Linked DNA regions of Diceros bicornis minor. The protein of the gene in region 2 purifies or fractionates together with the protein of the main gene of each other region. This does not show direct contact. Links are inferred from orthologs where the notes say so. Each region holds a gene or a part of one and is shown on either strand. Other genes may lie near its edges.

Region 1 (6,517 bases), on a different chromosome or scaffold from region 2:
ATTTCTATGTTTGAATCCTCTTCTGCCACTTATTAGCTCTGATCTATGGCAAGTTACTTAATCTCTTGGTGTCTGCTTCTACATCAAAAAAATAGGATAATGGTAGTACTTATCTTCCAATGCTGTTATGCTGAGTAAAGGAGTAAATACGTAGAGCACTTAGAACAGTACCTGACACAAACTGATTGCTGAATAGATGCGGTGTATTATTATGATAAAGCCCACTTATTATTTTAAAAAGTCCTTGAGCACATTTATATAATCTGACCTAGCATAGCAAATCGTTTACCTTAATGAGACCATCTCCTTGGGCAAAGCACGGGTCCTGCACAAAATCAAGCACCTGAAGTGTCAGCTGATGCCACAACCTGAAAAACATAAGGCCCTTGAGACCTATAAACTAATATCCAGTCACAGATACCGTCAGCTGTGATAGATCTATCAGATAACAAATACTAACCAGTCTCTATGGTGTAACAGGAAGAATGCAAAGGCAGATGCTCATAAACCTGAGTTCTTTTCCTGGCTCTACTACTCAATGGTTATGTCACCTTGAGATCACTTAACCTCTCTAAGACTCAGTTTTCTCAGCTATAAATGGAGAACATCTTGCTAAACTACCTCAAGAGGTTACTGTTAAGTTTGATCACACATCTTTAAGTTGAAATCCTGCTCTTCTACTTATTAGCTGAGTATCTCCGGGAAGAAGCCTAAACTGAGCTTCAGTTTCCTCATCTGTGAAACGGATGAAGGCTTAAATGAGCTAGTACATAAATCCTCTACAACACTGACATGGCACATTTGAAACCAAAGGCTAATTTTTTTTGTGTGTGTGTGAGGAAGATCAGCCCTGAGCTAACACCTATTGCCAATCCTCCTCCTTTTTTTTTCTCTCCCCAAAGCCCCAGTAGCTAGTTGTATGTCATAGTTGCACATCCTTCTAGTTGCTGTATGTGGGACGCGGCCTCAGCATGGCCGGAGAAGCGGTGCGTCCGTGCGCACCCGGGGTCCGAACCGGGGCCACCAGTAGCGGTGCGCGCGCACTTAACCGCTAAGCCACAGGGTCGGCCCCCAAAGGCTAATTTTTAAGAACGCAAATAAAATGCCCTGAAAAATACAAAGTGCTATCCAACACAAACAACTATTTCCCAAACACTAAGAATTTTCTCTCAAAAACTGCTAACAGCAGGATGCTGAACATGATCAAAACATGTATTGAATATCTACATGAAAGACACTATGCCTAACGCTAGGGTTGTTAACACGGAGGTTTTTACAAGAGGTGTATTTTCCTATAGAACATCGCTAGCACAATGCCAACAATTTATTCTACTCACTTAAAAAGAGACTGGTGCTTAGCAACAGACAAGTTAATCGTTTTGCAATTTATCCTGTTTCTAAACAAACTCAAACTCTGAGGTGTCTCCAGAGGCACGAAGCCCAATAAGAAACGCAACGGAACGTAAGGACCATGGGAGAGGGGAATGTGGCTGCACCTGAGCTGTAACCAGCTGCAGAATCAACAGAGAAAGGAACAAAACTGCACTGGCCCCTGGTCCATCCACTCCAGGCCGCTGAGAAAGATGACTGTAGACACGGTCACGCTATGACAAGGCTAAGTACAAGACACCAGCATCTGTTATCCAAACGGGTAGCAGCCTGACCCCGAAAGGGCGTATGCTTGTTTGACCGGAGTCAAGAGCTAAATGCACAGGCCAGCCTTGAGCACTATTCTAAAACCAGAGGAGAGCTCAGAAGGCTCAGCTACAGTCCCTCGGGCAGGAAGGGAGTGAATCCTACACCCCAAAACCCTGCCGACGGCTCCGCTCCTCAGTCCTCACGGGCTGTCACCCCTCCTCCCCCTCGGCCCTGCACCTCCGGGGTCCTCAGCTACCGCCCGGCCTCGCCTGTCCTCACGCTGCCCACACGGGTCCGAGACCCTCAGTGCGTCAGGTCTCGCCCCTCCGCCTCGCCCTCCTCTCCCCGGGGGCCCGGGTCCCCTCAGCCCGGCGCTCACTTCTTCGTGTAGAGCTCCTCCAGACGGTGCCACACGGCGGCCTGGCCGGGACCAGAGCTCTGGCTCTGCTGTAAGAAGCCGGGCACGTCCTTCATCACGGCAGGAAGACCCCGGGATCGCGGGAAACGAAGATATCGCCGCAGAGGGGATGGCCGCCGGAAGTGCTCACTCACTTCCGGCGCCGCGTCTCGCGGGGCAGGCCGGGAGCGCCGAGCGCGGCCTCCCGCGCCCGTCGGTTGTCAGGGTAACCGCGCGTCTGCGCTGTGGATGAAATTCTCTCCTCGGGTCGTCCCCGGCTAGCCCCGCGGCTGCCTTTGCCTTTGAGGCGGGGCACAGAACAGGCGCCTGGGGTCCACCGGGCATCGACTGGCTCTGTGGCCTTTGTGACCCGCGTTTCTCAAGCTCAAGTGGGATGATACAACTAGTACCTTCCTCGTAGTGTCTTGCGAGGACCGAGTGTAAATGTAATGCCTGACCATATTGAGCGCTTACACAGTGTCAGTTGTCATCACGATCACCATCCCGACTGAAAAAGGCGGGAATGCAGGATAGAGAAGTTCAGGGTCCTGGTTTGGTCTTGGGACGAGAGGCGGCATCTCAACAGACTAGGGAGCTAACCTACACCGGGCGCGCGGGGCGGGGCGAGGGCAAGCATGGTGGGGGCGGGGCGAGCGCGCGGATGGGCACGTGACCCTCGGGGACGCTCACGCCAGCGGGCTGCGGAGGAACATGGCGCTGTATGCTCGGCCTGTGCTTCCCGCCCTCAGGCTCCTGGGCCCAGGCGGTGAGCGGGCTTGGGCCCGCAAGCCTCGGTTCGTCCCGGTGGCCGCCGCGGGGCGGGCGGGTCCAGCGCGAGACGCGGAGCTGGAGCGCCGTGCCGGCGGTGTCCGCAGCCCCGAGGCGCGGCTCGGATGGCGGGTCATTCCTCCTCACGGCGCTTTGGGCGCCTGCGAGCAGCGCTCGCGCGTTGGGGCCTGCTACCCCACCCCTGTTAGTCGGATTGTATTCGGTGCTTTGGCTTTTTATGTAACAGTTTGTCTTGGAGTGGCTTCCCTTGAAAGCGTGAAAGCTTTCTCAGTCTTTTATACTGATCTGGGGAATTCCATTATATTGATGTTTCGTAAATTAACCGTTGTCTTAGCGAAGTCGTTTCTAATGTTTAGTTGGTACAAGTAATGCTGTGGTGAATCACCTTGTTTGTACCCCACCTTTTGGATAAATTTCTAGTAGTGGAACTTCTGGGTCTAAAGGTATATACGTTTTTATTGTCCCCACCAGCATATGTTGATCACTCTTCTACACAGTAATTGCAGATTTTGGAATTCTTGCCTCGGAACTGGGCCTACAGACGGAAAAATCTTCAGGCCCCTGGTTGTTAATCATAGTTGTTGGGAAGCTAACTTAAATGCCCAATAATGGACGAATGTTTAAGTAACTAACGGTACATGCACTTGATGCCATCCCACACAGCTACTAAAAGACTGGTGAAGAGTTTAATGCAGAGATAGCAAGGAGTCTTCGGTTCATCCAGGAAACCTTTATTGAACTCTTCTTCGGTACCAGAGTCTGTTCCAGGTGCTGAGGATGGTGCAGGGACCTGAAAAACGCTTCTTTCCGTGGAGCGCATTCCAGTCTCAGAATCTCAGGCAGTTGTGTGCGTGGGACATGGCTGAATAGTGACCTGGTCTACGGGCTGCTGCTCAGGGGACTGCTGACTGTCATTAAACAAATCTTTGCTACCACTGCCCCCGAACAGGAGGTTGTTTGCACAGGCTTTCTGCAGTTTGGGAGTTCTGCCCTTTTGAGTTTTGATTTTGGGGTTCTTGTATGAAATCATCCTGTTTCCCTTTCCCAGGCAGCACCCATGCTTGCTCCTCAGGGTCCTCCCACTCTCAGTAAGTCTCGTTCCATGTAGCATATACTTGAAGTCACACACCTTAAGTATATTCTAGACATTTGGTAAAAACCTGTCCATGCATTTTTTAGTGGCAAATGTTTTACTTATGTAGGTGAAACATATATATCAAGTACCCTGGGTAATACTTTGCACTCAGTACGTGCTCAACAATGGCAATAACTTCTACAATACGTGCTTTTTTTAACACCACCAAGCAGTTCTCCAGTTTTCTGTGGACACTGACAAGGTGTCCCACAGATTTAACTCAATTCTGAGACTATTGACCTGGAGATAGCACCAGCTCCCACAGTCCCACAAGGGTCCGGTCCCACAAGACTGCTATTTCAGATGCAAATCCAGGTTGCCACCTGTGCTTCTGACCAACTGGCTATAAATGAGGAGGTTCCCATGACCCCTGTGGTTGGATGAATTTGCTAGAGCGGCTCACAGAACTCAGGAAACCAGTTTGCTTACTAGATTACCAGTTTATTACAAAGAATATTAAAGGATGTGAATGAACAGCCAGATGAAGAGATACTTAGGGTGAGGTCTGGAAGGATCCCAAATACAGGAGCTTCTGTCCCCTTGGAGTTCGGGCCCCTGGGGCCCAGCACGTGGAAGTGTTCTGGTTCACCAACCTGGAAGCTCTCTGAATCCCCTCCTTTTGGGTTTTTATGGAGGTGCCAACCCTCTAATCACACTTTATTCCCCTGGCAACCAGCCCTCATCCTTAGGGGGTTTCCACAAGTCACCTCATTGACATAAACTCAGTTGTGGTGGAAAGGGGGTTGTTATGCTTTTTTTTTGGGAAGATTGGCCCTGCGCTAACATCTGTTGCCAGTCTTCCTCTTGTTTTTTCTCCCCAAAGCCCCACTAGATAGTTGTACATCGTAGTTGTACATCCTTCTAGTTGCTCTATGTGGGACGCTGCCTCCGCATGGCTTGATGAGCGATGAGTAGGTCCATGCCCAGGATCTGAGCCAGTGGACCCCAGGCCACTGAAGTGGAATGTGTGAACTTAACCGCTATGCCATTGGGCCAACCCCAAAACGGGCTTGTTATGAATAACAAGACACCCATGTCACCTTCATGGCTCTGAAGCGATTTCAGGAACTGAGGATCTAAGACCAAATATTATAACAAAAGATGTTCCCATTGCCCTTAGGAAATTACAAGGGTTTGGGGACGAAAACCAAAATATAAATTTATTATAAATCACAATATCACAACTTCCTTCCTATTTCTTTTGTATTTTTCATAGTAATTGCATTTAGGAGGAGCTCAGTAAATGTTTGGGTGAGGACCTTAGGTGAACAGATGTTCCTAATGCTGAGTGAAGTGGGGCATTTAATAGCTATACTTGGAGCCAGAGCATTCTCTTCCCCTCCTGAGCATCTGACCAGTTTTCACTAGGAAACCCCCTTTGGTGATTTCATCGACTTGCACTCAGAAGAGCTGCCTTGATGGGTGCTTTTATGCAAGTCTTTGGTGCAGCAGAACTTTCTTCAGAATCTGTGGGCATCTCTGCAGTAGCATGGGGAGGAGGGGGGACATCTTCCCTGCTGTGTGTATTTCCTGTACTTCTTGCTGAGAGGTTTCCAGCTGTAGATCTTTTCAAGCAAGACTGTGAGAGTCATTGCTCGCTCCCTTGCTTTTGGCTTTGGCAGCTGAGGCTCAGGGTGTGTGAGTGACTTGAGACAGGCAGTGAGCTAGGGCTCTGACTCCTTGTGGAGCCCTCAGCCTTGCACATATGCCTTCCTTTGTCACTTTCCTCTTTCCTCTTTTTTATTTGTTTTGTGAGGAAGATCAGCCCTGAGCTAACATCCATGCCAATCCTCCTCTTTTTGCTGAGGAAGACCGGCCCTGAGCTAACATCTATTGCCAGTCCTCCTCCTTTTTTTCCCTTTTTCTCCCCAAAGCCCCAGTAGATAGTTGTATGTCATAGTTGCACATCCTTCTAGTTGCTGTATGTGGGACACCGCCTCAGCATGGCCAGAAAAGCGGTGCGTCGGTGCGCGCCCGGGATCCAAACACCCGGCCACCAGTAGCGGAGCCTGTGCACTTAACTGCTAAGCCACGGGGCCAGCCCTACGTTCCTCTTTCTCATTACGTATCTTCCAGAGGTCTGTTTTTTGGAAAACCAAGACGATGCTTTGTGTGGCAGGAGAGGTGACAACACAGGAGCATGCAAGTGGACTGTGAGTGGCAAGCAAGTCCCTAGGTTGCATCATTGCTGACCCCAGAATGGAGTGTGAGAGGAAGTGGGGCAGGGGTGACAGGCACCCTAAAAGGAGCCAGTACTGTCACCTTTCAGAAGAGGGCAAAATGACTTTTCACTGGGGTTCGGCAGTGGCTTCATGAAGGAGGTGGCATTTGATCCTGGCCTTGACTCCAGGAGATTTGGACATGCTGACGTGGAGACAGGTTTTTCAGGCAGAGGGAGCTGGGTTTGGGACATATACAAGAACCAGGGTGTCCTTTTGTTTGGCTGAAAGGAGGGATATATGAGAGGGAGTAGTGGGGGTTGAAACTGACTGGGGTGGGATATGTTGGGGTCCTGTGAGAGCAGAGAGTTTCAGGGAAACCCTCAGCAGCAGTGTGTA
Region 2 (6,517 bases):
ATTCTCTGCAGAAATTACTTGAAAAAAGAAAAAAAGCATAAAATAGAGAACTCTAAAACCATCTTAAATCACTAAAAGATTAACCATTCATTTATATATTTTTATTTGGAAATGTTTATATCAGTACAGTGAAACTAAATTTTAGAGACACTGGATGTCATTAGTTTGGATATCATTAGTTTATTATAAAAGAGAGACATGGAAATTATTTACAAGATGAAAGATTTCAGTACTTCAATGGAATGGGCAGCTTCACGTGATGCCATTTCAATAGTGATTCATTTCAGTCTACATACTTTCCAAGAATGTCACCATCTCTAAATAAGAAATAATCCTGCAAATAAAGAAACCATTAGTTAAGAAAACTAATACCAAATATGTAACTTCTAAAAAAAAAAAATCCATTACGTTTACACACCTTGTCGTCTAGAACTACTTTGGTGCCTCCATACTCTGGGAGAAGAACTTTATCTCCCACTTTCACACTAACTGGTTGAATCTCTCCACCCTTAAAAAAATAAGAATGTTTATTAGTAGAGACATCTAATTTACCAAATATTTACACCTAACTTTCATTAATCAAATATGCTCACTCAAATCAAATGTTAAAAAAGAACTTGGTGGCCAAGTGATATAATCTATACAATTGTAGTTCTTCACTCAAAACTTATCATTGTAGAGTCACACTTTGAAATGAGGCACACACAGTGGCTTAAACTAAAACCTGATTTCACTGTAAAAGTTCAAGGAGTTATACTGGGAAAACTAACTTAAACTAGCTTTTAAATTGTTAAATATTAACATAACCCATCGACTAAGTGAAATAAACAAGTTTTAAAAACCGTATACATAACAGTCTGTATAACTTCCTTCAATACACAAACACTTAACAGAAGTTTTCTGAATTCGGAACATACATTTTTTTTTCCATTCAATTTCCTTTGCTCCCAAGTATAGACTTGGGGAGGAGACTGAAGCAGAGTGTCCACTCTTCCAAGCCTTCCTATTCCTAACTCCAGGATTCCTTGCTAGAACTTTCTTAGAGGCATGGACAATGCAATTAACATATTTGACCCTAAGAGCATTTACTATGTATTCTGGTTGACACTTTTATAAGTCTGAAATGTAACCAATTAATTAGAAAATGACCTTGAAGATAACACAAGCTACGTAAAAGCCTATTTTTAATAATAACCAATAATTACTTTTTCCCTCCACATAATAGTTCCATTTTAGCCCCCATTTACCTTTCCTTTAGAGCCCGATCCAACAGCCACTACTGTTGCTTGCAATACTTTTCCTTGAGATTTTTCTGGAAGCATAATGCCTCCTTTGGTTACAGTTTCGGCTGCACTCCTTTCAACCAATACTCGGTCAAAGAGGGGAAGAAACTTTCTAAATGCCTGTCCTGCCTGTAGAGAAAGAAATGTCGGATAACACAAAAACAACATGTAATTATATTCTAAACAGGCAACACCACTGTAAGCCTTCTGTATCACAGGCCACGTGTGGCTTTCAAAGATCATGCCCAAACTCAGATTATTTACCCAGGAAACCCACTTGAAGGTTCTGCTCTGTAGCCCGAGTTTAATTTCCCATTCCCCATGTGTGTTAGGGGTCCTTGCTGCTCCTCTGGTCAGCAGCCAGACCACCTTTAAGGGCAACCTTAGTTTATTCCAAGGTCAAATACTATCCTTCCTCAGGTTTTTCTGGGAATTTTCAGCAAACACTGCAGTCAATCCCTACGCCCGGGGCCATGCTTTCTCCGACATATTACACACCCCCCAGCGCCCTGCAACAGCCGCAGGCCGGCCGCCGCGCGGTTCGGGGTTCCCGGCCCACAGGCCTGCAGCACGCGCGCGCGCAAAGAGCCCTCGGCGCGGGGAAGGGGCGGAGGGGCCTCGCCTCTCCAGGGTCCCGGCGGGCGCCGCTCACTGGGTGACCCCCACCCCTCCGGCTAGGCCCAAGAGAACCGTCCGGACTCCCGGTGCGCCTCAGGCCGACCCGGGACCGCCACCCCCCCGCTCACGGCGGCCTCACCATGACTCCGGCCGCCGCAACCCACACTCCGCTCTAGCGCCGCCGTCGCAAGCAGAGACCCGTAGTCCGACCCTCGAGACACGTGAACTTGGGACAAGGCACCCGGCGCGCAGGCGCGCTCGCCCCCGGCCCCCGCCCCTCCCCGCGCGAGGGGGCGGCCGCAGCAGCGCGCGCCGCGATTCGCCGCGAGGGCCCTGCGCAGGCCCCTGACGCCGGGAGGCGGAAGGAAAGAGGAGCCCTTTCTAGGCTTTTCTAGGCCCCCGCCGAGGTGAAAGTACTAGCCCTCCGCCCTCCTCCCGGATGTGACGCGGTTTAACCCTTAACCCGCAGGGAGCGCGGCGCCCCCAGAAAGTTCTGGAACCCAGCGCAGCCCGGGAACCAGCATACGCCGGCCGGAGAGGGCCGAGTCCGCGGGCCTGGCCCGGCGCTGGTAGGGAGGGGCGGGCTGGCCCGCGGCGCATGCAGATTGCCGGGCCTGCCGCCGGCGAGGGCGGGAGCCGCCTGCGCGCGCGGCGCGGCGGGGCGGGGGAGTGGCGGAGGGAGGGGACACGGGCTCATTGCCGTGTGCGCCCTGCACTCTGTCCCTCACTCGCCGCCGACGGCCTGCCTCGCCTTCCGCACGCCGCGCCGCCGCCCCGCAGGTACGCGGCCGCTCCGCGCCGCCGCGCCCAGGGCCTCGGACCCCCGAGCCGGCCTCCCCCCGCTGCAGTCCTGCCTGAAGTGGGCGGCGGGGGAGAGCCAGGGCCTCCTCCGGCGCCGCAGGCCCGGGCCCCTTGGCCAGGCCTGGCGGGTCCATGCGCGAGCCCATCACGTGCCGCGTGGAGCCCTCGCCCGGGCAGGGCGCAGGAGGGAGGGCTTGCCCGGGAGTGCGTGTGGAATCGGGGGAGTGCTCTCGTGGGCCCTCCCATGCAACCCACTCCTGGACTGCAGGACCCCGGGGAGGGTGGTCTCACCCGCGTGGGAACCGCGTTTGGCCCCGCGGACCGCTGGGGTACGGCACTTCGACCCTGACCTTGCTCGGGGCGTCCTGATGGAAAGACACTTGGGGTCGCGCCGAGTGGGCCAGGCCGCAGCCCCCTGCATCGCGGCCTTGCGGGCTGCTCTGATACAGTAGCCCCGAGAGGATACATGAAGGCACATTTCACTAAGCGGAATTTTACGCCGTCAGGCATATTTGTACTCTCCTGGTCCCTCGGGTTTATAACCTGCCCGTCTGCTGCAGGCTTGGTTTTTTTAGGGGCGCGTGTGGAGTGGCTTTGCTCTGAAGGCCGTTTTAGCAGTGAAAGATTAACTCCTTTTCAGCGGCAGGGGTAGGTGGCCATGGGGACGAAGAGGGGCCTGCTTTGTGCTAGTGCTCTAGGTCAGGCGTGGAGGCGGCCTCTTCAGGCTCGTCCTGGTACCTGGTGTTCTGCAGCTGTGGCGCTTTCCGTGGCCCGGGTGTAGTGGCTGGCAGAGGTCAGACCAGCTCACGTCTAACACTTTTTATTCTGTTGCACAGGTGTCATTTTTGTGCTGTAACGCACCACTGGGAGTGCCACTATTGTACTGATGGTCTGCTTTTTTTCCCACCCAGAAATGCTTCGATTACCTGCAGTCCTTCGCCAGATTAGGCCAGTGTCCAAATCACTGGCTCCTCATCTCACTCGGGCTTATGCCAAAGATGTAAAATTTGGTGCAGATGCCCGAGCCTTAATGCTTCAGGGTGTAGACCTTTTAGCCGATGCTGTAGCCGTTACTATGGGGCCAAAGGTAACTGTTGTTATTTTGTTATACTTTATAATATTGTTAATTAAGGAATAATATTTTACTGATGAGAAGTCACACTGAACTGTTGAACAGTATTTTAGTATCCGTTTTTGAGAAAAACCAGTTTACATATGTGAGTTCTAAATTATTGGTTAATTTTTTTGTCTTTTTTTGCTTAGATATAATGGTCTTAAACTGCTCCTGCCAAATTTTCGAAACTTTCTTTTTTACAATGTGTGATGTAATCGAGTGGTAACTAACTCATAGCTCAAGGTGGATTCTTAAACTCAGTGTAGAATTAATCTTGCTTGCCTGCTTGAGTTAAATTTTGGATTCTTTCCCAGTAGTTAATACCAAGCATAGAAGGAAGACTATAAGTACGTCCCATAATACCTCAAGTATGTGCTTTTAGGTGCTAGTTTTACCTAGTGTTTTTCTCTTGTCCGTTCTGTTCTAAAGCACATTTAAAATTCTAAGTCTTATTTAACGTTAAGAGATTGGTGAGCGAGGGGTGATAATTTGAGGAGGCTTTTGAAGGTGGTGCACAGTTGAAGACCGTTCAAATATCAAAGTAATCCAAACTGTATAGATTACAGCATTTGCATGCCTCACAGGTAGCAGCTGTGGTTCAAATCCAAAAGCTGCCAATACTGTTTGCACCATGTTTGAGATTTAATGTTGAACGATCCTGGAAGAGTGCACTATACTTACCTTGCTGTTAATAGTTTATCTTTTTTTTTTTTCCTTTATTTTTTTCCCCCCAAAACCCCAGTAGATAGTTGTATGTCATAGCTGCACATTCTTCTAGTTGCTGTATGTGGGACACGGCCTCAGCATGGCCGGAGAAGCGGTGCATCGGTGCGCGCCCAGGATCCCAACCCGGGCCGCCAGCAGTGGAGCACACGCACTTAACCGCTAAGCCACGGGGCCGGCCCGCTGTTAGTAATTTAGTAACTAAACTTTAGACTTTAAAAGTAAGTTTTCACAATACTTTCAAAGATGGCAGGCACAGGACAAAATTTAAGTATAAATGATGTGAAGAATATTCTGGAATTTAATTATAATCTACCAGATTGGTATTGGTTTATCTCATGTTCTTGTTGTTTTCTAAGAGGACACCTTTTAGTCTCTAGGATTTTTATCCCCCATAATACCTTATTCAAAGTTATGCAATTGGCAACAGAGAGGTAATTTTGCTTGTAAGAACATTGATGAATTTGCCCTTGAGATTCATGCTGCTGATTTGATAAGATGACAACTTGCATTGAGGCTTTTGAGTGATTGCCCCATTACAGTCACGTGCCATTTAACAACTGGGATATGTTATGAGAAATTGTTGGGCGATTTTGTCATTCTGCGAACATCATAGAGTTCTTAACACAAACTTAGGTAGTATAGCCTACTACACACCCAGGCTGTGTGAAACTAATCTTATGGGACCAGTGTCATATATGCAGTCCGTTGTTGACCGAAACGTCGTTATATGGCATGTGGCTATAAAAACTGCTCGTTCTGTTTTAAGTTAAGTAGTACTTAGAGTGCGAGTCTGTTCCATTTTTTTTCCTCTGCAATTATAGGGAAGAACAGTGATTATTGAACAGAGTTGGGGAAGTCCCAAAGTAACCAAAGATGGTGTGACCGTTGCAAAGTCCATTGACTTAAAAGATAAATATAAAAATATTGGCGCTAAACTTGTTCAAGATGTGGCCAATAACACAAATGAAGAGGCTGGGGATGGCACCACTACTGCTACTGTTCTGGCACGCTCTATTGCCAAGGAAGGCTTCGAGAAGATTAGCAAAGGTGCTAATCCAGTGGAAATCAGGAGAGGTAGGAATGTCTCCTCATTGTCACCACAGTGTTTTGAACTATTAAGTTATACTAGAAAATTGATTCTTATTTCTTCTCTCTCCTAAAAAATCTTAGCCTGGGTTTTTCTTCAGCAAATAGTGATTGAATGCTTGGCTTTGTGCTTTGGGCACTGTGGTTGCTGTTAAGGAGGGAAGTGTGACTAAGACATACCCTGTCTTCTGTCCATCCCGTGTGTCCCCTCCTCTGAAAGCCAACAGTTTATTGGAAGATACACATGTACTATGTACCTTGAAAATAGTAAACTTGTGGGGATTAGAGCAGAGAGGGGTTATACACCTTTGATGTTTTACTTTATTTAGAAAGTAGGGGCTGAACAGGAAACTAAGTCACCCAGGATGTCAGAAAGTTTTTTGTTCTTTTTAGCAGCTTTTTCTTACCTCTTAACAGTACATACTGTGTTATTAATCTGCATTTTATTATTGCTTGTTTTGGTGAGCTACAGACCACAATTTAAAGATCTCAACGTGAGGTTCATGTTGATATAGACTCATCTTGTCATTGTCATTTATTAGCTGTGTACTAAAACTTGGTTTTCCTATCTTGAATATGGAATTAACTGTATATTTCTTGGGTATGTTATCTCCCAAACTAGGAGACTTGAGAGTAAAGGGGGTGCTATTAATAATTTTGTCAGAATTGGCATTCCAGGGCATAGTGGCATAGCATCATCCCATCCATTTCAATGTTTGAGGTCCAAATGAATGTGTTCCGTTAAAAGGGAGTTAGACTGTAAATCACTAACAAATATTAACTGAGATTGTTAAGATTACTTCCCAAAGAAAGTCATTGTTACTCCACACCTTGTTTTGGATTTTTTCTTGAAGTAACATTTCTAAAAATAAAGAAGAGCAGAGCTAGC

Evidence for each region.
Region 1: the proteins of HSPD1 (region 2) and SIRT3 purify together in Homo sapiens (affinity purification with mass spectrometry; 3 studies listed by BioGRID and IntAct, counting the BioPlex papers as one, with this or other methods). This does not show direct contact. The link is inferred for Diceros bicornis minor from reciprocal best matches to the Homo sapiens genes HSPD1 and SIRT3.

The regions. Positions count from the first base shown.
Region 1 is NC_080770.1:58,555-65,071, reverse strand, and holds the start of SIRT3 (NAD-dependent protein deacetylase sirtuin-3, mitochondrial), read left to right. Parts: upstream 1-2,746; coding exon 2,747-2,829; intron 2,830-6,517. Other genes in the region: PSMD13 (26S proteasome non-ATPase regulatory subunit 13), read right to left, coding at 290-368, 2,018-2,112.
Region 2 is NC_080749.1:75,336,964-75,343,480, reverse strand, and holds the start of HSPD1 (60 kDa heat shock protein, mitochondrial), read left to right. Parts: upstream 1-2,589; 5' UTR 2,590-2,681; intron 2,682-3,613; 5' UTR 3,614-3,615; coding exon 3,616-3,789; intron 3,790-5,363; coding exon 5,364-5,616; intron 5,617-6,517. Other genes in the region: MOB-like protein phocein, read right to left, coding at 1,248-1,412, 2,041-2,043. UniProt on the Homo sapiens protein: Chaperonin implicated in mitochondrial protein import and macromolecular assembly. Together with Hsp10, facilitates the correct folding of imported proteins.